Caenorhabditis elegans: one gene and its partners. The protein of the gene in region 1 purifies or fractionates together with the protein of each later gene. This does not show direct contact. Each region holds a gene or a part of one and is shown in the gene's direction. Other genes may lie near its edges. The genes, in order: M142.5, nsph-3.1 and hxk-2.

What was found.
Region 2: the proteins of M142.5 (region 1) and nsph-3.1 fractionate together in Caenorhabditis elegans (co-fractionation; one large-scale study listed by BioGRID). This does not show direct contact.
Region 3: the proteins of M142.5 (region 1) and hxk-2 fractionate together in Caenorhabditis elegans (co-fractionation; one large-scale study listed by BioGRID). This does not show direct contact.

The regions. Positions count from the first base shown.
Region 1 is NC_003281.10:10,929,565-10,933,318, forward strand, and holds M142.5 (AD domain-containing protein), read left to right. Parts: upstream 1-1,636; 5' UTR 1,637-1,644; coding exon 1,645-1,761; intron 1,762-1,810; coding exon 1,811-1,894; intron 1,895-1,952; coding exon 1,953-2,387; 3' UTR 2,388-3,197; downstream 3,198-3,754.
Region 2 is NC_003282.8:10,947,735-10,951,488, forward strand, and holds nsph-3.1 (Nematode Specific Peptide family), read left to right. Parts: upstream 1-2,075; 5' UTR 2,076-2,143; coding exon 2,144-2,411; intron 2,412-2,459; coding exon 2,460-2,926; intron 2,927-2,976; coding exon 2,977-3,342; 3' UTR 3,343-3,399; downstream 3,400-3,754. Other genes in the region: Y69E1A.1 (MFS domain-containing protein), read right to left, coding at 1-338, 792-1,002.
Region 3 is NC_003279.8:11,321,056-11,324,809, reverse strand, and holds the start of hxk-2 (Phosphotransferase), read left to right. Parts: upstream 1-1,699; 5' UTR 1,700-1,717; coding exon 1,718-1,752; intron 1,753-1,826; coding exon 1,827-1,929; intron 1,930-2,438; coding exon 2,439-2,598; intron 2,599-3,336; coding exon 3,337-3,479; intron 3,480-3,754. Other genes in the region: cdk-9 (putative cyclin-dependent kinase 9), read right to left, coding at 1,229-1,278.

The DNA.
Region 1 (3,754 bases):
CTGTTTTTCAAAATTGGAGAAAAACTTAGAAATACATTTAAAAAATTACAGTCAACACAATATTCTGGCATTTCGAAAAAAAAAGCTGCCAAATTTTCCAAATTCACAGGCAGGCAGGCAGGCGTGTTAACGCTTACATGGAAGCCCTACAAAAACAATGAATTTTCTTTGCGACTATAGTATACTGTAATTAATTAAATGCTCTTCTCTTAAAAAAACGAACTATAAGTAAGCTAAACTCTAATTGCTTTTAGTTATAAAACACTCCTTATTTCTCAATTTATGACTGAGACTCTCTCCTTCTTCTCCAATTTGAGGTACAAGACAAAATTGATGATGGCTCATAAAGTGTATGTATACTACTTCGATATGCTCCACCGATCTCCTCCTCATTTCATGATTAGTGTCTGTGTGTCTGTGTCCTTGGACACCATTTAGAGCAGCAGTAGGAGCAGCAGATGATGATAGATGACTACGCGGGAAACAACAGGCGTCTTAACTCTCAAGTACTGTGATTTGCATAAAAGTTCGCCGGGCAGCAGCAATGAATTATGTGTTGTGCGGGGGCAGAGGGTTTATGAAATTTATAAAACACATATGCTACATGTTGAGGGGGTTTTGCCACGTGGCAGGGCGGGAAACCAAGAAATTTGAACTTCTTCGACAAAAAATCTCCTCTTGAATCAAACCTGTTTTTTAATGCGAAAAAAAAACGAAAAAAAACCAGTCTTATTACAGGAACACGAAATTCTGAGAATGCGTATTGCACAAAATATCTCGTAGCGAAAACTACAGTAATTTCTTTAAATGACTACTGTAGAGCTTGTGTCGAATTACGGGCTCGATTTTTGAATAGTGACTTTAGAATTGTTTTCTCTTTTTTTTTGATTGATTTTATTATTTCATCTACATATAAATAAATTCTATTAATTCATTTCGAAAATGGAGACCTTAAATCGAAACTACAGTAGTCTTTAAATAATTACTGTAGTTTTTGCTGCGAGATATTTTGCGCGTCAAATGTTGCGCAATAATACGCATTCTCAGAATTTTGTGTTCCCGTAATAAGTATTTGAGTAAAATTAAATGAACATAAAATTTAAGAGCATGACATTTCATGAAAAAGGGTTTTTTTCACGAAAACTAATGGGGAAAACATTTTCAGAGTGAAACAAGCATAATTGATTGACTCCGAGCTCGGATCCGAGGTTATTGCATTTGCATTTCACACTTTTTCGATGGAAAATATTTTTTTTTCGAATATTGATGCAGATTTCCAGATTTTCGCTGAAAATTCATTTTCCATTTCGGTTTCAGGTCACTTTTTGCACGCGGTTCTTGAATTTTAACTCATTTTTCCACGAGAATTTCATTTTTTAAACAATAATCATTGATTTCTTGAACTTTTGCCGCGCGGCCAGCATCGCTTCGTATCGTGTAATTCCCCTCAAAAATCACGACAAACAAATGTTCAGTGTGGGTTCGCAACGGAGCGCACATGCTGACACCTCCCTTTTTCGTCTTTTTCCATCGGCGCCGCAGCATTTATCGACCCGTTTTTGTGCAGTTTCTTGTTTTTAATGCATTTTTTGTTTCAAAATTTTGAAAATAATTATTTTAAAACAATATAGTTGTCTTTGCAGCATGGCTTCGTGTAATCTGACAGCGTCAAACGTTGCGATCGGCGCCTGCGTCGAAATCGAGACGACGAATGGCTTGAGCGCCCGGGGAGTGGTAATTTCGTTCGACACGACTCGCAAGGTAAGAGAATTATCGATTTATTGAATTATTTATTAACCAAAAGCCAAAGTTTCAGGTTTTGGTTCTCGACACCAAGGAAATGGCGATTAACAAGCCAATGATTCGCATTTTCAACTCGGAGCACTTGAAAAATGTGAGTTTTTTCTGGCAAAAATCGGTACTTTGATATTAATAATTAATATTAATTTCAGATAAAAGTGTTAAGTGAAGCTCTCGAGGAAAGCGAGAAATTCGCGCGCGCCAAAACCGAGCAATTCGCCCAGAACAATCCGGTAAACGGTACACGGACCACCGAACGGCTCGACAAAACTCTCGGCGAGCTCACACCGAATCTAATGAAATCACCAGCAATATCGATTCGTGGACAACAAGCCTATCTGCAATTGAAGCGCACAATTCCGGATACATGTTGGTGTGGCGAGGATATCCGTGTGCTCGGGCTCGTGTTGGTTCACAAGCCCTACGAGGTGTCCGACGTGACAAAAGATGCAAAAGCGACAGGATTCGATGAATCGCGTGCCGAAAGTGCCGTACTTCAAGTTCAGAAAATTCTCTCAAAACCAATGACCGAGTATACGGCACGTGCTCCGCTTGATTTCACTATTGGAGCTATTGTGGCCAACTAGTTATCGATTTTTTCCCATTTTTGTATATTTTTTGTCCTAAGGCTGATGGGTTTAAAGAAAAGAGTGGGGAAAATCAAGAAAATCTCTATTTAAACCCATAAAAAGTAACATTTCGAGAATTTAAACTCGAAAATTAATTAATTCTGTGAAAATCGACAAAATTCCGTTTTGAATCGATTTTATTCAGGATTTTTTTAAAATTTAATCTTCAAACTTGAATTAACTGAATTTGAAGCCGATTTAAAAAAAAATCTCGAATTCTTCTATTGAAAATTTCAACGATTTTTAATAATTAAAATTCAAAAAAAAAATCTGATTAAAAAAAAACTTCGTGAAAATCTATTTAATTCTGAAAAATTCGATATTTTTCTTCATTTTTTCTGTGATTCCCGATAATTTCCAATCGTCTTCGAGAAAATGTAATTTTAATCGATTTAATCGACTTAAAAAATTTTCAAAACAAGAAAAAAATCAAGAAAACGTCGTTTTTCAACAAATTAGGTCGAAAATGTTGTATTTTCTCCGTTTTTAATTCAAAAAAAAAATCGATTTTCTTGCTATTTCCCCCTAAAAATCGATTTTTCGAATAAAAATTCATCAGCCGCGGGTCTCGTTTTTCAGGTATCTCTGTCCCTTTCAATATATATATATATATTTTCTCTTCCAAATCAACCAATTCTTCATTGCATTTGAACCTTTTCTCAGCATTTTTCTCCTTTTTTTTTTTTAGTTTTTTTAAATTTGAAATTGCCCCCCGTCCTCAATTATTTATTAAATTCCGCCCTAAAATATAATATATATTTAATTTTTTTCGTAGTTTTTTCTGTTTTTTCTGTGAAAGAATGGGTTAAATTACCATTTTATATCTTTTTTAAATCATTATTTTCTAAAATTGCTCGTTAAAAATTCTGAAATGGCAGTTTGAAAGCATTAAAAATCGATTTTTAAGCTAATTTTCGATTTCTGTGAATTTTTATTTCAAAAAAATCTGAATTTACGAATTTTTGAGCTATTTTTCACATTTTTGCATTCGAAAAAACACGAAAAATTGCCCAAATATTACAGGAATTCCAAAAAAAAAATTAAATAAAGAAATACCGGTTATTTGCTAAATTTAAATTTATTTTTAAAAATAAAAATTGATTTTTTTAAAGAAAAACTGGTTTAGAGAATCTGGTTTAGAGAGCTTTTTCAATAAAAAAATTATTATAAATTTTTTCAACAAAAAAAATTAATTTTAAAGCCGATTTGTTTGAAATTTCAATTTAAAAAAGTGATTTTTAAGCTATTTTTAACATTTTTGCAATCAAAATATCCTAAAAATCGCTGATTTTCACTAAAATACGGAAATGTTCTGCATTTCAGCA
Region 2 (3,754 bases), on another chromosome or scaffold:
TGTTCCCGATGTCGATCCATCCTCATTGTTCAGTTGATAAGCACCGAACGCAGGAATGGCAAGAGTTGCCAAAATGGCCGATCCACCTCTCCCAATGAAAATTCCGAAAATTGGAGAAAGTACATATCCTCCAATAATGCTTGCAATTCCAGCTCCAAGAAGCAGAATTGAAGACCATCCGAAAATTTCGACGACTGAGGACGTTGGAAGACCAATTGGAGATTGTGTCTCTTGGAGAGCCGAGATGAGCTCTTGTGTTTGAGGCTGGATTTGTGATTGGAGTTGCTGGAGTTGTCCTGAACCTTCTTGTTGGAGAGCAGCCGCACGTTGACGTAGTCCTGAAAGCAGTTATTTATATATACAGTTAAGGTCACAGAGAGCACAATGGACTCATCGCGATTGAGGAACAGGCACTGTGTGCACGTTACGAAAATAATCATTTGCAATGCTCACTAGAGAATTGAGGCACATTTTTTGGCACTTTCACATAATCCGCTTGTTCCCATCGTTAAATCAAAGTTTTTTTTCCGGAAAATTATAAAGGAATATTTGTACTTTGTGAAAGTAGCTTTACTTCCAATTCCGAAAGTTCCGAAAAATTGATCAAAAACTGATTCAAATATCAATCGTCGTCGCTCATTGCCACTTTGAGTAATTTTTCAAATCTCCCAATTGAAACTAAAGTTGTTTTCTGTATACATTTCCGAAACAAAACTTCGACACAACAACGAGTGCCGATAAATTTGTTGCGCAACTCTGGTGCCAATCCTTAACAGTATATCAAAACTAACCTTCAGCAGCTTGCTGAATATCCTGAACGTAGTTGGCATATGTCTTGGTAACAAAACCAATCGATGCATCTTCCTGTCCTCCGAGTTGTGAGGCACCTCCTGGAGTAACAGTTGGAGCGACAGATGCGTCCGCTGGTTGGACTTCAGAAGCCATTGTTGGTGCTCCAGTGACAGCACTTTGGTCCATTGCAGATTGGCTTCCGTCGGCCATTTTTCTTTTTCTTCTTTAACGATTTTCACCAAAAGGTGGCTGGTATTGGATTTGTGAGTGGCACGAAGTGCTGAAAGCCTCTTGTTGAAGAAGATACCAGGATCAGTTGATGACTTACCAGAAGTTTTCCAACTCGAGACGAGTAAGAGTCGAATATAATAAAACTTTTATGAAGTTTTCGCTCTTTTATAATCAAATATTTTAGATCTAGGGCAAAGATAAGAAAATGTAGTTTTGACGATTCACGCAGAAAAGTATAGAATTTTAACTTTTTCAAAATTAGAAAAAAACATAATAATTTTGAAATTCTACTAATGAGGCACCAACAAGCTTCTCGAAACCAGGAGTGCAAATCAAGCACAAGATTGGATATTCAAGAATCAAGCATCGAGCCCCACTTGTTTGTCCAAGTTTGTCGTGCTTTCAAGCGAAAATTCTTTCAAGTTTTTTTGCAAACTTTTTAAAAATCCCAAAAAATTTTATAAGCTCAAATATCAAATATCAAATAGGTTCTAAAAATTCTAAAAACTTAATATTAAGCAAACATAAATCATCCTTTTTAAAACTGATTTCTTTTTCAAAGTGCCAGTAAATTTTCAACAGTTTAAACTTAAAATATAAAATTATCAATCCAAAAAGAAAAGTTAAACAAGTGTTTTTGTGTTGCTAAAATATCAATTCCGATTTTTCCCGACTTTCAGATAATGAATGCACGTCATCAGGCGTGCCATGCACATCTTCAGGCGTGCATACCTTCCTCATGCCTATACAGTAATTTCGTGACGGGCTCATCATGTGCTGCTTTAAATAATAAAAATGGCAAAAATTCACAACTAGGAAATATAAATGTTTGGAAATTTCAGAAAAAAACCCTCAGCCTTCTTCAAATGTTATTTTATCGGTTGAAATGTTTATAGTTTATTTATTATTCAGAAAGGTTTCTGATCTCAAAATTTTTTTTAGAAAGTGAGTATAAAAATGAATAAGCACGTGACTCCATGCGAACTTTGTCCAGTTGGAAATACGTGGCAAAAAAAAATAAAATTTTGGTATAAAAGCTCGAAAATTTGCTCATAATTCAATCTACAATCGATTTTTTCAACCGATCGTCCAACAAGAGACAAGTTCCTCTGAAAACGCAATGCCGAACCCGCCACCGAAGGAAGACACCTGGGCGTTTCAACCAATTGGAGCCCCATTCCCACCGAGTCCTGTGAAATGTATGGGAGAACAGAATATGTATGTTGCTCTTTGGTACAAGCACGGTAAACCAATCCACGGTCGCTCATGGAACAATGGAGGAGTTGTTGAATGTTCATTCCCATATAAGCAAGCTGAATTGACAACCAAGCAACAACTGGAAGGACAGATCCAGGTTCTTCAATACGTAGGAGACCATAACAATCAAGGTAAGCTTAATGGTGAAAACCTTATAGTTTTAACTTTATGAATTTCAGGTTTCTGGTACGAATGGATTAAGTACAAGGATCGTATTGAGAAGATTGACGATAAACATCAACTTGTGCGTTGTGGTGATTCATTCCCAATCTTCTGGAAGCGTGCCGAAGGAAATCTTCTTGGTTATGTCGACAACAAGACTGAGGAGGCTTGGTTCTCGTTCAATGGAAAAGTGCTGAAACAAGTTGGACCACAACTCAATGACATGTACATCATCACCCGTAACTGCATTGGTGGGCCACCATCTTGTGATTGTGCCAACTGTGGAAGTGGACCAAAGGTTCGTGTCGAGAGAGATGAATGGATGGACATTCGTGAGGGTGATGCATGGCCAACTCGTCAACTTGTCAAGGCTCTTGATAAGACTCTTGATACTTTGCCAGGTGTCAATCCAGATCAATACGTTGCACTTTGGTACATGCAGGGAGAACCTGTCATGGGTCGTGTATGGAATGAGGGTGGAAAGGTTAGTCTTGCTATTATTAAAGAATTCGCGTTCAATATGTTAAATTTCAGGTGGCTGCCAACTTCTCGTGGTTCAATAACGAATACACCAAGAATGTTGGATCTATCCAACTTCTCGTTCATCTGCCTGATAACCTTCGTGGTTTCGATTATGGATGGATTTCGTTCCCAGAAGCTGCCAAATTCGGAGACAAAGAATGGCATCCAGTTCATGTGAACAACCACAAGGGTGACATCTCAGTGGGAGTTGTCAATGTTTCTGGAGGAAAGCAAATTTTGGCAAAGGTCGATGTTCGTAATGAAAAGTACGGATATGGTTATCAAGGAAAAGAGCATACTGCTTCTGCAAAATCTTGTGCTGACAATACTACTGTCTTGTGCCGTAAGGCTAAACCAGGATGCAAGTTGGATGGTTAATTCTGTCCATTCCGAACTGTATTGAATATGTGTTTATTGATAAAAAGATATTTTCTTGTTCGTGTTTGTATTTTTTCCTGCTCCAGAAAACAAGAGAATAAAGTTAAAAGTGCGGGGGTTATCAATACGAAACAAACTAATGGGCAGCTGAGATAAGTGGCTACAAGAATTTGGCTTCAGAATTTTCTGCTAAGGAGCTACACAGAGCTGAAATTCTTTGTCCGAAAATGTCTACTGTGCTGTTGTGATATTTCTATTGAAAAATAATATTTTCTACATTTGAAAAATAAAATGGGATTTTTTAAAAGAAAATATACAACAACAATACAGCCGAAAGTTCCAGACGAAGAACAAGTTTATTAAAAAAATTCTCGTTGGTATTTTATTTCATTGAAACTTAAATTTTCTTCGG
Region 3 (3,754 bases), on another chromosome or scaffold:
AAAATCGTGGATTTTTCGGTTTTTTGGGGTGTTTTTCACGTTAAAATCACGAATTTTGAGTGAATTTTCATTATTTTTGCCGAAAAAAATCCAGTGGAAATTAGTGTTAAAAAGGTGTTTTTTACGTAAAAATATTGATTTTTCGGGGAAAAATCACTCTAAAATTGCTTTAAAATGAGTAAAAATAGGTGAAAAATCGGTTTTTTTCGGACGAAAACTTTTTAGTACAAAAAAATGAACATGTTGGAAAAAACAGCGATTTTCAGTAGTTTTCACATGAAAATATCGATTTTTCGGAGTGATTTTGAGGTAATTTTCAGCGAAAAACCCTCTAAAATTGCTTAAAATCGATAAATATCTGCTCAGAAAGATGGAAAACCCGGTTTTTAGTGAAAATTTAGGTTTAAATTTGGGTTTTTGGTGAAAAAAACAGGGATTTCCAGTGGAAATTAGTGTTCAAAAGGTGTCTTTTACGTAAAAATATCGATTTTTCGAGGGGAAAAATTGGAAATTTCAGTGAAAATTACCCAAAAATAGGTGAAAAACCGGGTTTCTTAGGGGAAAATCGAAAAAATTTGGATTTTTTAGTGAAAAAACACCCTAAACCTACTGAAAAAGTTGGAAAAACAGGGATTTTCCGTAGTTTTTCAACGAGAATATCGATTTTTATTGGGAAAAATGAGAAATTTCAGTGAAAATCACCCTAAAATTGCTTTAAAATGAGTAAAAATAGTTGAAAACCCCGGTTTTTTCGGGTGAAAATCGACTTTTTAGTGAAAAAAACAGCCTAAAAAACTGAAAGTTGGAAAAAACAGCGATTTTCACTATAGTTTTTTAATAGTTTTTCATATGAAAATATCGATTTTTCGGGGAAAATTTCGAAAATTTCAGCGGAAAACTCTCTAAAATTGCTTAAAATCGATAAATATCTGCTCAGAAAGGTGGAAAACTCGGTTTTTAGTGAAAATTTAGGTTTAAATTTGGATTTTTGGTGATATTTCAGTGGAAAATGCTGTTAAAATCGCTAATTTAATAAATTTCGGTGTGAAAATTCACTCAAAAACTGCCGAAAAATCAATTTTCTGCGAATTTTTTTTTGATTTTTTTGTTTTGCAAATCAAAATCGTGGATTTTTTAGTTATCTGGGGTGTTTTTCACGTTAAAATCACGAATTTCTAGTGAAAATCAACGAAAAACCGGGGGTTTTCTCGCTTAAAATCCAACGAACCTCTGTGTACTCGACTGGTGGAGGCCGGCGTGATAGTTTTGAGCACTCATTTGCTCTGAAAATTGTTAATTTTTGTGGAAAAAAACATTAAAAATTGCGAAAAAATTGCGAAAAAACCGAAAAAATAGAGGAAAATTGCAAAAAAAAACATTGAGAAATAGAGAAAAGGGGCGGAGTGGCTCAATTGCAATGCGGGCGCGCGATATTTGCAAACCGCCGCACACACTTGACATTTTCCGTATTTTATTTTATTTTGCAAAAAAAAAAGCATTTCTATCATCAATTTCGAAGGGTTTCGCCTGCGTCTCTTCGTCATGTTTTTCCTCGTCTTCTCGTCAAATCTTCACTCAAAAATATTGACAATTTGTGTGTGCCCCTGAAACCCGTGGTTTTTATTATTTTATTTTTCTTAAAAACAAATAAAAAATCTGTTTTCCCACTATTTTTTAATGTCAAAATTAACATTTTCAGCCCAAAAATCTACACAAAATGCTGGGTATCATCGAGCTCGGCATTCAATATCGGTATTTTTCACATTTTTCAATTTTTTCCGCCCGGGAAAAATCGATAAAATCGATAAAACCGCATTTTTCTTCAGGATATGGCGTTCACAAGCCCATGGAAAGGGAAAAAAGAGCCCGCGGACGCCGACGACTCCGCTGGCAAAAATGGCGTCGAAACTGAATGAAGAATCGATTTCGGTGGGAGATTTGGCGGAAAATTTCGGGAGAAAAACTGTTGAAAATGGCTTTTTAAGCATGAAAATCCTTATAATACACAATAAATTGGCATATTTCGCTGAAATTGTCGTAAAAAATAGTCGAAAAATGCAAAATTTCACTAAAAATCAGTCCATGGCCTAACTTTTCGAATTGGTGGTCTCGAAATCCGGCTAGGCCACCTTTTCAGAAAAATCTGATATTAACTTCATTTTCAATGTCCAAAAAAGTGAAAATCTTCGAAAATCACCGAAATTCGAATCGATGGCCTAACTTTCCGAATTGGTGGCCTAGAAATCCGGTTTTGGGTTTTCTAGGCCACCGTAAAATACAATTTGAGTATTTGCTGCTTTTTAACTCTAAAACCCGTTAAAAATATCAAAATTTGATCAAAAATCAGTCCGTGGCCTAACTTTTCCATTCGGTGGCCTAGAAACCCAAATTTCACGGCCACCAACCAATTTACCACCTAAAAATCGATATTTTTGCAGCTGGAATCCGTGATGGCCGAGTTTAAGCTGTCAAATACGACTCTCCGACGAATGATGTCCCATTTATCAGATAATATGGATCGAGGACTGGAATCCGGCTTGGAACGGTCCACAATTGCAATGTTACCATCTTTTGTGCCAGAATTGCCGAATGGAAAAGGTTTTTAATCGAAAAATCGAGAAAAAATGGCCTAAGAATGGGTTTTTACGGTCGTGGCCTAACTTTCCAGTTGGTGGCCTAGAAATCCAAATATACCATTTTCTAGGCCACCAAAGCAAGAATTTTCATAAAAATCACTGATTTTTCTCTTGAAAACGTAGAAAATTTGACTGAAAATTCAAAAAATCCGAAAAATTGGCTAAAAATTCGATTTTTCAATCCATGGCCTAGCTTTTGGTGGCCTAGAAATCCAAACCCATCATTTTCTAGGCCACCTACACAAAACTCATTCATTTCCCCCGAATTTTCAAGAAAATTCCATGTTCTGCTGAAAAAACGTTGATTTTCATATTTTCAGCCTATGGCCTAATTTTTGGTGGCCTAGAAATCCCAGGCCTCCATTTTCTAGGCCACCATCACCAAAAGCAGCAATTTTGCGCCAAATTTTCACGAAAATTTCATGTTCTACTGAAAAAATCGTAAATTTCAATGAATTCACACCATGGCCTAACTTTAGGTAGCCTAGAAATCCAAAACTAGCTTTTTCTAGGCCACCTACTCATTTTCCACCAGATTTTTACCAAGAACTCCATTCTTGCGGCAAAACAACAACTGTCATACTATGGCCTAACTTTAGGTGGCCTAGAAATCCCAGTTCACCATTTTCTAAGCCACCTACACCAAAATCAGCCACTTTCCGCCGAATTTTCAGTAAAAATCAATGATTTTCTTTTGCAGAACGTGGAAAATTCGTTGCAATGGACCTCGGAGGCACAAATCTACGTGTAATGTTGATGGAACTGGAGCCCGGTGAGCCGATGAGAACTAAACAATTTAATACAAGAATGCCAAATGCCGCAATGCATGGAACCGGACAAAAAGTACGAGGAAATCGGGATTTTTAGCCTGAAAACGCGCTGAAAAACTGGAAAAAAAGCGATAAAAGTTGAAGAAATTGCCACTGAAATTTGAAGAAAACCATGAAAATTGGGAATTTTCGTGAAAAAAGCAGAAAAAAAGCTATGAAAAACTTGAAAATTGGGGATTTTCAGCATGAAAACCTGGAAAATTTTGGTTTTTTACCCTAAAAAATCCGAGAAATTGACATTTTCAGCCTGAAACCCCTGAAATTTCATAAATTTCAGAGGGATAAAAC